2 linked regions of the Arabidopsis thaliana genome follow. The protein of the gene in region 2 interacts with the protein of the main gene of each other region in a biochemical or structural test. Each region holds a gene or a part of one and is shown on either strand. Other genes may lie near its edges.

Region 1 (5,116 bases), on a different chromosome or scaffold from region 2:
ACTGTTAATAAATTTTCACGTGTATCAATAATTTCTTGTATCATATATAATTATGTCACAATTTACTAATCAATAAAAAATGTTAATAAAAGAAAATCAAAGGGGTTCGAGATCGTTTAAATGTCATCGTTGATCAGCTTGGAGGAGAGCGTTTTCATCGAACGATGGCTATCAATGTTCAAGAAAGCATTAGACAGTAAGACCATCTACGTTCATAAAGAGTTTATGGATATTTAAAGTTTAACTACAGAAAGACACTTCCTTTTTTTGGATGTCTAAAGTGTTTTATTTTTAGTTTTAAACTCAAATTTAATTTTAAAATAGAAAATACATTAAATCGAAACTTATACTATTTTAGGCGTTGAATCAGTGATCTAACCATAACTTGACAGCATAACGTCTAGACGGAGCCAATACAACCGCCTAAACCGCTTTTAAATAAAACATAAATGCTTAAGTTGTTCCTCGTATTTATCCCAAATTAAAAAAAAAACGTTTTTCTATCATGGGAACAAGATCTAACGTCGAAGTCCATTAGTAATTAATCTTCAGAATGTATAAATACTTCATATGTTTACCTTTCAAGGATTTAATAATTAAGGTTTGATCCTAGGATTCGATCTTACACATGTGTTTCTTCATACGTGAGCCCATAAACTTAAAACCAAAATATTGCTCTACTTTTCTAGCTTATGTATTGAATGCAAACTCTTTAGTTTGATATATAATGATCGACTTGGATATTATCAGTACTTTAGTAGCAACACAAAAAAGTGTATTATGGAACCCAAAAGTAAAACAGCAGATTCTTCCCACTGCCTGATTTTTGCATCGAAAAGAAATGAATACACGTAAAGTATAAATATAACACTTCATTTCATGTAGATTAATATAATTATCGCATCACACACTATATAAGTAAAACACTCTCATTTTCCTCCCCCTCTCATTTTTATTACACACTTATATATTGAACTACTATAGGCATCATCACCGTTCGTTACTCGTATCATAAAATGGTTATTAAATTAAAATACTATAGATGCATAAATCTCATCAGAGTATGCAATATCAATTGGTTATAAAGGAAGAAGCCATCTAAAGTCTTCTTCCTCCGCAGCCACTCTCCCTCTGACAATTGTAGAAAACTGCGGCCACGGGAAGGCCGAGATTGTAGATCTCAGCAAACTCGCGAGTGTTGAAGTTCTGGCGCCACCCTGGTGCATACACTGTTTGCCTGCCAAGCTGTCGAAACAATATAAACACGACACGATGAATTCCTGCAGTGGGACTTGGATTTTCGTAACACACAATCTCATTGCCTGAAAAATAAAAAGTTCATCAAAACATGTGAATTTTCTAGCTAGTAACTAATTAATTAGGCTATTTCATATACCTTTCTATATTTCTAACACCTAGCGATCTAATATATAGAATAAAACTCACCAAAGGTTGTTCCAGTTGTAGCAGGGATATCAGTCACCAACCTGTAATGAGAGATAGCCATACACATGTTTAAGCTATGGCACCACAACATAATTGAAATGCTACTTCTTTTTTTGACAGAATTGAAATGCTACTTAAACTTTATTTTCTTACAAAAAAATAATAGCAACGTAACTAATTCCTAGATTACTAGTGCAAGTGACTAGCAAAACATGCAATAACATTCAAGTGCATGAATATATAAATAAAAATAAAAAGTGATATAACAGGAAACCTAGTCCTGCTCACTTCAAGGAACAATGATGATGTCATCAGGCTATTTTAAGCTCAATGATATTCCCGTACAAAGACCACTTTAAAGTGAAAAAAACAAATCTTAGTTCAAGTCACGTCCTATACATTCTATAGAATCTATGTGCGATCAGTAAAATACACAGACATACATAATACATATTTACATTACACATAGTAAAGTTTTTGAACAAAATATGTCAATTTAGCTTGGGTGTGGGCTTTTTTGGGAGACAAATTGATGCATCGCACTCTCGAAGTTGATTTTATATGTCTCCTTCTATTAAATGTAAAATGTTTGAGTCTTAAGTTATAAGTGATCTACTCAATTTCAAAGTATCCAAAATACATGTCCAGTTTTACATGTGTAGTTGAGTGTCTATATATATAATTCGAGCAACATGTTTGAGCTATGCTATAACTTAAAAGTGAATTAATTAAAGAGTTGAGTTAGTGCACAAACCAATGGAGATATTCTCGGAGGTGAGGGTTGCTAGGACTTGGAACATCTGGATCCACCATAACCTTCATTAAACAAATAAGACGAAGAATTATAAGAAGATAAGATTATCATTTTCAAAGAAATCAAGAAAGCAAAAGGTCTTTTTTTCTTTTTCTTTTTTGAAGTTTGGAAAATGAGATAACACAAGAAAGAAGAAGAAAACTATGAATAGAAAAAAGGTAGTAGCTACATGTCTATATATAGCAGAGAGTATCTTAAAGGCTGGCTTGAATATCAGAATATCCTTATTCAAACAGTTTTCAAATATTCCACAACAGAGATTCATCAATATATATATTTGTTTTAATGAACATCAATTTTCTATATCTTTTTGCAGATATTTTAATTAGCAAAAAGGATATTTCAAAAATGCCATTTTCAAAGTATAGTAAAAAATTATACTTAAAAAAAAACAAAAAAAAACAAATGCAAATTAAATTATTAGGTAGGAGGAACAAAGAAAAATCCCAAGATTCTTATCCTAAATAATAATCACTTATGCAAGAAGTTGGTGGAAAAAATTTGGGATAGATCATAAATTTATCTCTATTTAATTTAGGATAGGAAGAAATATTTTATGGGTCCATCTTCATGAAAAAAGAAATGAAATATAAATTAGTTTTTGATTTGGGTATCATAAAGTAAAACCAAATAAATCATAAAAAAACAGAGAAAAGGAAAGCGTGGGGCATTTTTAACCAAGGTCTCTGCATGCCCAAGAAATATTTTCAGTATACCCCAAAAAAGGAAAATAATTTCTATTTTAAAAAAGAAGGTGTAAGAAGCACTGAAGAAACTAAAGAAGAAAAGAGACAAAAGGGAGTTCAAGTGAAAGAACCAAAGTATAGAAGTTCCTGAGGTCTTCTCCACCAATCTCAACTCTTGGCTTGTTTTGAACCTGAGAAGGCCTTAGATCCAAGCCATTAGTCACCTCTCTTTGGCCATAAGTAACCTTTAGAGTGATTGATCTATTAAACGGATCAAGAACGTCTCCAACAACTCTGCTTACTATAAGAGGGTCTCTTATATTTATAGACATCTTTGATCTTGAACAAACAGGTGGTTTCTCTGTGTTGATTGTTTCTGTTTTACTTGTTTTTGTTTCTGCTTCTTTAATTTGTATCATAGGCATGAACCCTCTACACATATTTATACTGTTTCGGATTTGCATTAACTCGGGTCGGTGAAATCATAACCACAATCTTTTTCTTGTCTATTGATGTACTAGAATCTAAAACTGATTCTACGTACATCACACATTGTCGTCTTATTTCATATTTTTCTTTCTTTTTATTTCTGTTTGTGGTATTCCAAACCCACCACACTAATACACTGGAAATATTCCAAATTATATCTCCCACTTGGTAGCCACTAATTTTTGATTTATTTCCTTTAACAAGATACCTCTCTCGACTAAATATTATTTACTTTTATACAAAGATATTAATTATGATAATGAGTAATCAGTAGTTTCATATATATTTAGTTTTGCCATATATTAACATAATTTATCATAACAAAGTAAGATTATTAATAAAAATAAGAAAAAAGTAGGGTACCGCCAAGTTTATAGAGAAAAAAAAATTACAGTATCACTTGTTATGTTTTTAAAACTATTATTTAGAGATATAAAGAAAAAAAAAATTCTTAAAAAATTCGAAAGCGAAAACGTTCTAAAAGAAAAAAACTAAAAAAAAAGTTGAGATAGAAATCATAGAAGAAATGATATATTTTATAAAACAGCCTTTTCTTGTAGTTATACCAGGTAGAACAAGGGATCCTTCAGGTTAGATAGAACCAGGACATTTGAGAATAGTCACCTATTTTTCTAGCCGCTTGTGTTATATGGTCGACAAACAAATCTCAAACATGTAGAATGAAGGCAGTTATTTTCATCGTCCATACCTACCAATGTCCGAACTCAAATACGCAAAATTATCTCAAAATGAATTAAGTACAAGATATCTGCAATTAAATAATATAAACCAAATCAATTGTTTTATTTCTCTTCTTTTTTTATAAACAAGCGGCCATATTATGGAAAAGTGAGTTTTATAATTGAGATAGTATCTAGTGTCTTGAAACAATTATATCATACGGTAATCTATCTATACATATAATATTAACTATTAAAAATCTAAAGCAAAATAATGATTACTTTTTAAAATTAGACATTAGTTTGGTTGTAAAAATACTAACCATCCATTTGCACGACCAGGATAATTGGTATATATACTTATGCGTCTATAAATAGGTATGGATTTGCTAATTTGAGAGATTTTCTTTTTGACATTGCATCAACATATATAGATGTAACTACCATTACCACTAATTAGAGCATTTCTTAAGTTCAAAGATGAAACTTATAACCATAGCCTAACAACTGTAGGAATTATTCTTTCTTTTTCTTTTAATTGGTAATTAAATAATTAGCGATAGGTTCTACTGTCCAAACTGGAAAATAAAGGAATTATTCAGTGATGTAGTTTTTTGTAACATCTCAGTAATGTATTCATATTGAACTTTATCTTATCATTTCAGACTTCAGCCACTGTTCTACACGTCCATAGGTTAACTTCATCTTAGGTTGAAATCCAAAATATTTGGTAACCTTCATAGAAATTTCAGATTTGTTTACTAAAAAAGACGTCTACGATCGACCATTGATAATCGAAATCGCAATTAAAAAAAACTCGAAATCTGCTATATGCACTTTTTAACGACTAGCATTTATTTTCTACTAATTTTAGTTACACACAAAAAAATGTATGCATTTTTAAATATTGGACAGGAGAGCTCAGTACTATAAGAATTGTTAGTAAATTTTGTCATTCAATCATGTTAGTGTTCATACGAAACAAAAGATGTGATGTAGAA
Region 2 (6,743 bases):
TCCATCATGTATACGTCGAGCCATTTCAATGGCTGCAAAATTGGAAGCTGAGGTACGTGCAAGAGAGAGAAATACACGCATGGGAGAACCAGAAGGACATGAAGAACCGAGAGGCGCAGAAGAATCTATTTCGGCTCTAGGTGACTTGTTTGCAGACCTGAAATTTGCTCTCTCTGAAGAGGACCCTTGGAAAGCATTCGAGTTTTTAAAGCATGCTTGGAAGATTGCTGGCAAAATCAGACTAAAACCAACTTGTTCATTTTGATTTAATCTTAACATTATAGCAACTGCAAGGTCTTGATCATCTGTTAGTTGCGTACTAACTTATGTGTATTAGTATAACAAGAAAAGAGAATTAGAGAGATGGATTCTAATCCGGTGTTGCAGTACATCTTTTCTCCACCCGCAACCCTGTTTCTTTTCAGCTTGATTTCTAGTAGTTATTAGAATTCTGGAATGCATTTTTCACCTGATATAGTGAAGCATGATCTCCATCAATGTTGAATACGAAATATATTGTTCTAACTCTCTATTAATTCTGGTTTGTAACAATTTGAGAGTTTCAGAAAAGGAAAGAAGAAAGGAAGCAAGAAATATCCAGCAAACAGATCAACAAACGCATAAAAAAGTTAATCCAGAAGAGTCTTGGTTGGAAAAGCAAACTAGGGCACAAGCCAATGTCGAATTTCTTGCGGAACAACGGAAACTGGAGCTGCTGATGGTTACGTCTGTAAATCTAACGCGGATTTGATCTTGACAATAGTATGAGCCATGAGTGTCTCGACACTTTTGACAGTACCTTGAATGAGTGCAGCAGTTGGATTGATGCCCACCAAGATCTGAAGTCCAAATGTCAGTAGACATCCTCCACCAGTATTGCCTCTATGATATGACCCATTTACTCCATCTGGCACTATCGAAAATCCCGAAGGAAGAAACTTCACAGAATCTGAATTTTCACCTCTCTTGACCAGCTCAATAGAATTGGTTTCCACTGGTGCATACACCACCATTGCACCTGATGCATCATTCCAAATCTCTTGCAGAACCAGCATACCATTATTCTGTTTGCATTGCAAAACTCACGAAAATCAATGGAAACATAGACAAAACGACACTCATTAAACCAAAAATAAATGTTTTGAAACTCACAACGATTTTCAGAAGAGAGATGATGTTTCCATGGCGTTTTGCTTTTTGAATCCGGATTGTTTCTTCCATGGTAGTATCATTGGTCAAGATATCCCACTCGTGTCTGAAACTCAGGTGGCTAATGAAAGCAAAGAGTGTATGCTGGTTCACTGGGAGCCAAACAGAAGTGGATGCACTCAGCACAATCCCAGTTAGCTCACCAGGCTCATTCACGTTCTTTCGGATCATGAAACTCATGTTTTGTGCCACATTCTCCACCTGAATTTTCTGCCACTTGTCCACCGAAGGACTCGTAATACCTCTGTAGTAGTTGAGAGTCATTCGCTGTGCTAGCTTCACTATTTCAGTTGCACCTTTTGCAGACAATCCTATATCGAAAACATATATCACAATCAAGGCCTGTCCAAATTTAGTGGAGAACCGAAAATGACCTAAAAAGTAGTTGTAATGAGATTTATTCTATAATTTAAATAGCTTTCACCTGGACTAATTTCAGTCAAGTTGGTAGATGAAAGGGTCGAGAGGCTTTCGCAGTGTCTCTGCAGCGTCGCGAGCCATCTCTTTGCACCTAGCCCGATCCCATAGCCAATCAAAGGCTGGTAGAGTTGGTGGATGTGACTCTCATTATATTCCGCTTGTTCAATCCATGTAACCTGTGAAATCAAATCTCTATGTGTTATACATGTGGTGAATATAATAATAACCATTAACCATTTATTTATGTCTCCACAGTACAAGATGCTCTGATAGATCATTAATTATGATTGCGAGTAATAACAAGTGAACCAACATATATTGTTCAAAGAACAGGATTCAGAAGTAACCTGGGAGTACCCATTGGACAGGTCGTCTATGATAAGGCCTGAGGGTAGCCTCTTAGAACAACCATAGGGCAGCAAAGTCGGATTTTGAGTAGGAGTAACGTCGACGACCACCCATAAGCCCTGTCTGATCTCTTTGCAGTATCTAATAAACGTTACTTTTCTCTTTGGTACCAGCGGAGAAATTACTTGAAATTCTGCTTGAATCTGCCAAAATTATATGATCACAAATTTGAAATGTTTCTACTTCTCTTGGATTATCAACCAATATAGACGACTCAGAAAACTATATATATTATACCTGTTGGAGTGAGCCACTTTTGGTTCCACCAGAACCGGTAGATAGCACTTTATGGGTTGATGCCACAGGGACTATAGGTGCAAACACGTTGACCCATTTGCCCTGTTTAAAAAAAAAAAAAAAAAACTTGTTAACATTTCATGTAACAACATTTCACTAAAAAATGGGTGGTGGTTTAAAGGTTATTACTGTGTCCATAAGAGTCTTGACCAGAGTCACGCAAGTCATGGGAACTAAACCTTTAGCTCTTGAAGCCTCCACAATTTGCCCGGGAGGTTTTGTGACATTGTTGAAAGAACTTCTATACTTCTCATAGATCTTTGATACTCCTTTGGATCTAACGATTGGATCTATCATCCAAAATGGACAGTCCACTTCTCCCAATGTAATCAACTCTCTCAAAGCCGTAATGGCAAGATTCAGAAAAATTGATGTCTCCTTCTCAGACGTCCTAGTTCCACCACTAAAATCAAGTACTGGTGTTGCATTTATTCCTGGATTAGAGGAAGAAGAAGGCGCCTGTTCGGATGTACTGACCATCCTTTGTTTGGGATGAGAAAGGTATCTGGAATTGAACTGGTCTATCTCCCGCTCCAAGTTAGCATTCTCAGCCATAAGTTTTTGCACCTCATATTCAGTGTCTCCACAATTAGTTGCCTTACCACAAATGTTGCATAAACTACGTAGCATTGCGCTTCTAAGCTGATCCTGAGTTGCTAGCAATCTGTCATGCTCTTCTCTAAGAGTTACATTCTCAAGGTGGTCATTATTGATCTGCTTACCCAAAAAACCACACTCAATAATTATACCATAATCAAGGCAGATTTTGAGGATGAGAGAGAGAGGTGGTAAACTATATACAGTATTTGTTTTTAACATAGGGCAGAAACATGGTCCATAATACGGTACGTGCAAAGAATAAGAAAAGACACAGCCACATGCATGTATACACTTCTGTATTTTTTGGTACCTTCTCGAGATTTCTTTTATTCTGGAACCAATTCTTGACTTGATTGACACCCATATTAAGCCTTTGTCCAAGCTCGTACCTCTGTTCTTCAGTGGGATGAGGATTTTCCATGTAGAAACTACACTCATTTTAAAGTAAAGAGCAAAGTAAAGAGAAACATTCCAAACTCAAAATAAAAAAATAAAAAAAATAATAGGAAATGTTGCATGATGATGAAATGAAGAAGAAAGTGAACAAACTTTTCAAGTTCTTGAGTTTGATAAGCAGTGCGCCTATGGGTTCTTCTCATCCTTCCACCATCTTGATCATTAACACCAGACATATCATTAATCATATCAATCTCATCGCCTTCAGCTTCACCTGGTTTTGGAATGTTTCCAACCGCATCCAAATCACCTTGTCCATTCATTTTCCCTCAATGCAATAACCTGGACATTGCATACTATTAGTACTCGATATAGAGGTTTAGCTCCCTGGACATATAGTGAGTGTGATCAAATTAATACACGTATAAACTTTATATTAACCACCAAACAAAAAAGACTTAAAAAGTTTTTTCTTTTTGGTTTTAATGCTGAAGATTTTATCGATAAATTATGCCCCAAAAACACAATGTTAAGATTTACTACCAACCTAAGATTATTTACTATTTCATTCCAAAGTTTGACAATTGCAACAACTCAAAAGAGACAAAGCCAATCTAAACTGAAAAATAACAAAAAACAATCTGCTTTATACTGGAAAAGAAATACAACCAGAATAAAATTCAAGTAGAGAATGAACCAGTAAATGGTTCTTTTTGGAAGAAGAGAATTAAATTAACATTTCTAGTGTCTCGACAACGAACAAGACAAAAGAACTCAAAAATTTGGGATACCCATTGTAGAGTTAACACAATATTTTTCAAAGTACTTTACACATAAGCGAAAAACAGACAAATCGGGAACCAAAATCATTCTCTAAACAAAATGTAAAAAAATCTGATTTTTGGCTGAAAAAAACAACAAAAATCTGATTGTCAGTATCCTACAAATCGATAAATCGTAAGAAGAAAACATAAAAATAATATTAAAGTTGTGTGCTAAAAGCAACCTTAAACAACCAAATAGCACTTCGACCAATGTCGAAAAGCAAAAACCGTAAAGCGGTGCTCGTATGAATGTTGAATGGGATAAAGAGCGGCGCAAGATCTGATATTTGGCTGGAAAAAACAACAATAATCTGATTGTCAGTATCCCACAAATCGATAAATCGTAAGAAGAAAAACATAAAAATAATATTAAAGTTGTGTGCTAAAAGCAACCTTAAACAACCAAATAGCACTTGGACCAATGGCGAAAAGCAAAAACCCTAGAGCGGCGCTCGTATGAATGTTGAATGGGATAAGGTATATATGAGATTCTCGACGGAAAGATGTATGGGCTTCGATAAAGAATATATGAGATTCTCGACGGAAAGATGTATGGGCTTCGGCCCATAACTCTTTGATATTAGTATAGAACCATAACAAAAGAAAAAAAAAAAACCTTAAACAAGTAAACACTAAACCCAATTGATTCTTTACTAAATTTAGTAATCAATGGTTATTGTGAAATGAAATTTAACTTTTCTTTCATATGAAAAAAAAAATTGAAACCATCCATGGATGGCCTAGTTTTATTTAGATAACTAAATATCTATGTTTTGAAATAGTAATCTATTACATGACACAAGAACGAAGATTAACTAAATCGAGAAAGAAAAAAAAGTGTAGATTTGGTAGACGCTGAATATATAAAAAAACTAAAGTGATAAAACAAATTGTCTTTTTAAAAAAGTATGGAATTTTCAAATTTCCCATTCTTTCGGTATATGATGAGAACCTTCACATGGATTTTATTTTTAACAACAAAAATCAATGTTGAAAAGTGTATGTACCTATGAAACAAAATCAGGGTCTTAACTAGTTTTTTGTTTTGGTTTTGGTTTTAATCTTTTCTAGTTGCTTTGCCTTATTTATAAGCGCAGATGAGGAAGAGAAAGGCGAAGGCACATCAGCTGCATGGGACGTTGCTGAAGCTGTGGCGCTCTCATTGTGTGATATCTTCAATCTCTGTTAATAGCTTTGTAATGGTGGTAACAATCCAAAAATACCCAATTACAATCTTATAAGTACCAATCATCATCCATCCTATGGTTTTTCTTTTTTAAACAAAATCCGATATAAAATTAATAAAAATCTATTGTATTAACACTAAAGGTCTATTTACGAAAATTTATAGTTACAATGATATGAAATGATAGAAAAAATGAAAGATTATAAAATTGTATTGACCGAAAAAAGAAGTTTAATATATATATATATATATAGGGATACTCATTAGAAAATCTATATGCTTAGTGAAAAATGACTCCTTCCCATAATATTAAAAACAGATAAACGAAATTGTTAACTAAATTTATTCAACAATAATAAACTTTTAACAATGACAGGTCACACTTTAAATGGAAATATGCATTGATAGACTTTCTCGGTTGAAGTTGTAACTCTAGATTTATTTTTGTAGAATTTAAAGATGTATTTTGTTCCTTTTGTTGTGAGCTATGAAATTAATACCTTATAATTGTAGGTTTTAGGAAGCGGTTGATGTATAGCATGTGCAGAGTAAGCTCGAAATGGCTGAGACGAAAAAAAGTGTCGCCACAATGATTTACTTTTTACTACTATACTTTTGATCATTGGGACCTAATGGATGAATGTTGTGTGTTGTGGACGAGTTTATGACACATAACAATATTGTAGACAAATTGTCTAATTTGAGTAGAGATACTAAAATTTATCTCCATATAATTGTATACTGTATATGTATAACAAATAATTCAATTCATTGGCCTAAGATGTTTTATTGTATCTTTGTAGAATTTTACACTTTAGAGAAAAATCATTGCAATAACTCGATGAAAAAAAATGTTTATCTTATCCTAGTTACAACTAACTATCTATCTATCTCTTTGTGGTAGGAGATTTGCATCTGATCGAACGATTCATATGGTGCCACGTAACTATGGTCCCACTTCTATTACGAGATCTACTAAGACATCAGCACGTGTCGGTGTCGTTTGATCCACGAGGTCGGTGACGCTTAGAGCTAGTTGACCGGTACAGTCGGTTATTACCGGTTATACTATATGTATGTTTTTTGGTCAAAGATTTGGAGCTATTTTATAGTTAATAAATCAAGAGTTTTTTTTTTCCACAACTAGGTCTTAATTTGTGATTGTTTTTTTCTTCCATTTTTCCAAAATTCTCTTATCAATTTCAGGTTAGTATTTTTGTTACTGTCCCTAGCTTTTGACTATTGTACTACTGTATACCCTTTTTTTTTGGCTTGAGAAATTAGATTTTGTTATGTTTGCGTAAAATATTTGTGAACTCAAAAATAAAATCTCTTTTTTTTTCATTGCCGATATTTTTTCTTCCATGAATGCTGCTGTAAAGTATTAATTTCCCTCTCTACTG

The links.
Region 1: the proteins of FWA (region 2) and FT form a complex in vitro, tested with the Arabidopsis thaliana proteins (one study listed by BioGRID).

Annotation. Positions count from the first base shown.
Region 1 is NC_003070.9:24,329,672-24,334,787, reverse strand, and holds FT (PEBP (phosphatidylethanolamine-binding protein) family protein), read right to left. Parts: upstream 3,416-5,116; 5' UTR 3,411-3,415; coding exon 3,078-3,410; intron 2,263-3,077; coding exon 2,201-2,262; intron 1,488-2,200; coding exon 1,447-1,487; intron 1,323-1,446; coding exon 1,099-1,322; 3' UTR 789-1,098; downstream 1-788. UniProt on the Arabidopsis thaliana protein: Component of the mobile flower-promoting signal (floral stimulus or florigen). Promotes the transition from vegetative growth to flowering. Required for 'SEPALLATA3' (SEP3) and 'FRUITFULL' (FUL) accumulation in mature rosette leaves.
Region 2 is NC_003075.7:13,036,222-13,042,964, reverse strand, and holds FWA (FLOWERING WAGENINGEN), read right to left. Parts: upstream 4,606-6,743; 5' UTR 4,548-4,605; intron 4,446-4,547; 5' UTR 4,337-4,445; intron 3,673-4,336; 5' UTR 3,654-3,672; coding exon 3,484-3,653; intron 3,363-3,483; coding exon 3,245-3,362; intron 3,049-3,244; coding exon 2,464-3,048; intron 2,377-2,463; coding exon 2,275-2,376; intron 2,181-2,274; coding exon 1,977-2,180; intron 1,806-1,976; coding exon 1,634-1,805; intron 1,521-1,633; coding exon 1,153-1,520; intron 1,065-1,152; coding exon 723-1,064; 3' UTR 501-722; downstream 1-500. Other genes in the region: homolog of DNA mismatch repair protein MSH3, read left to right, coding at 1-265.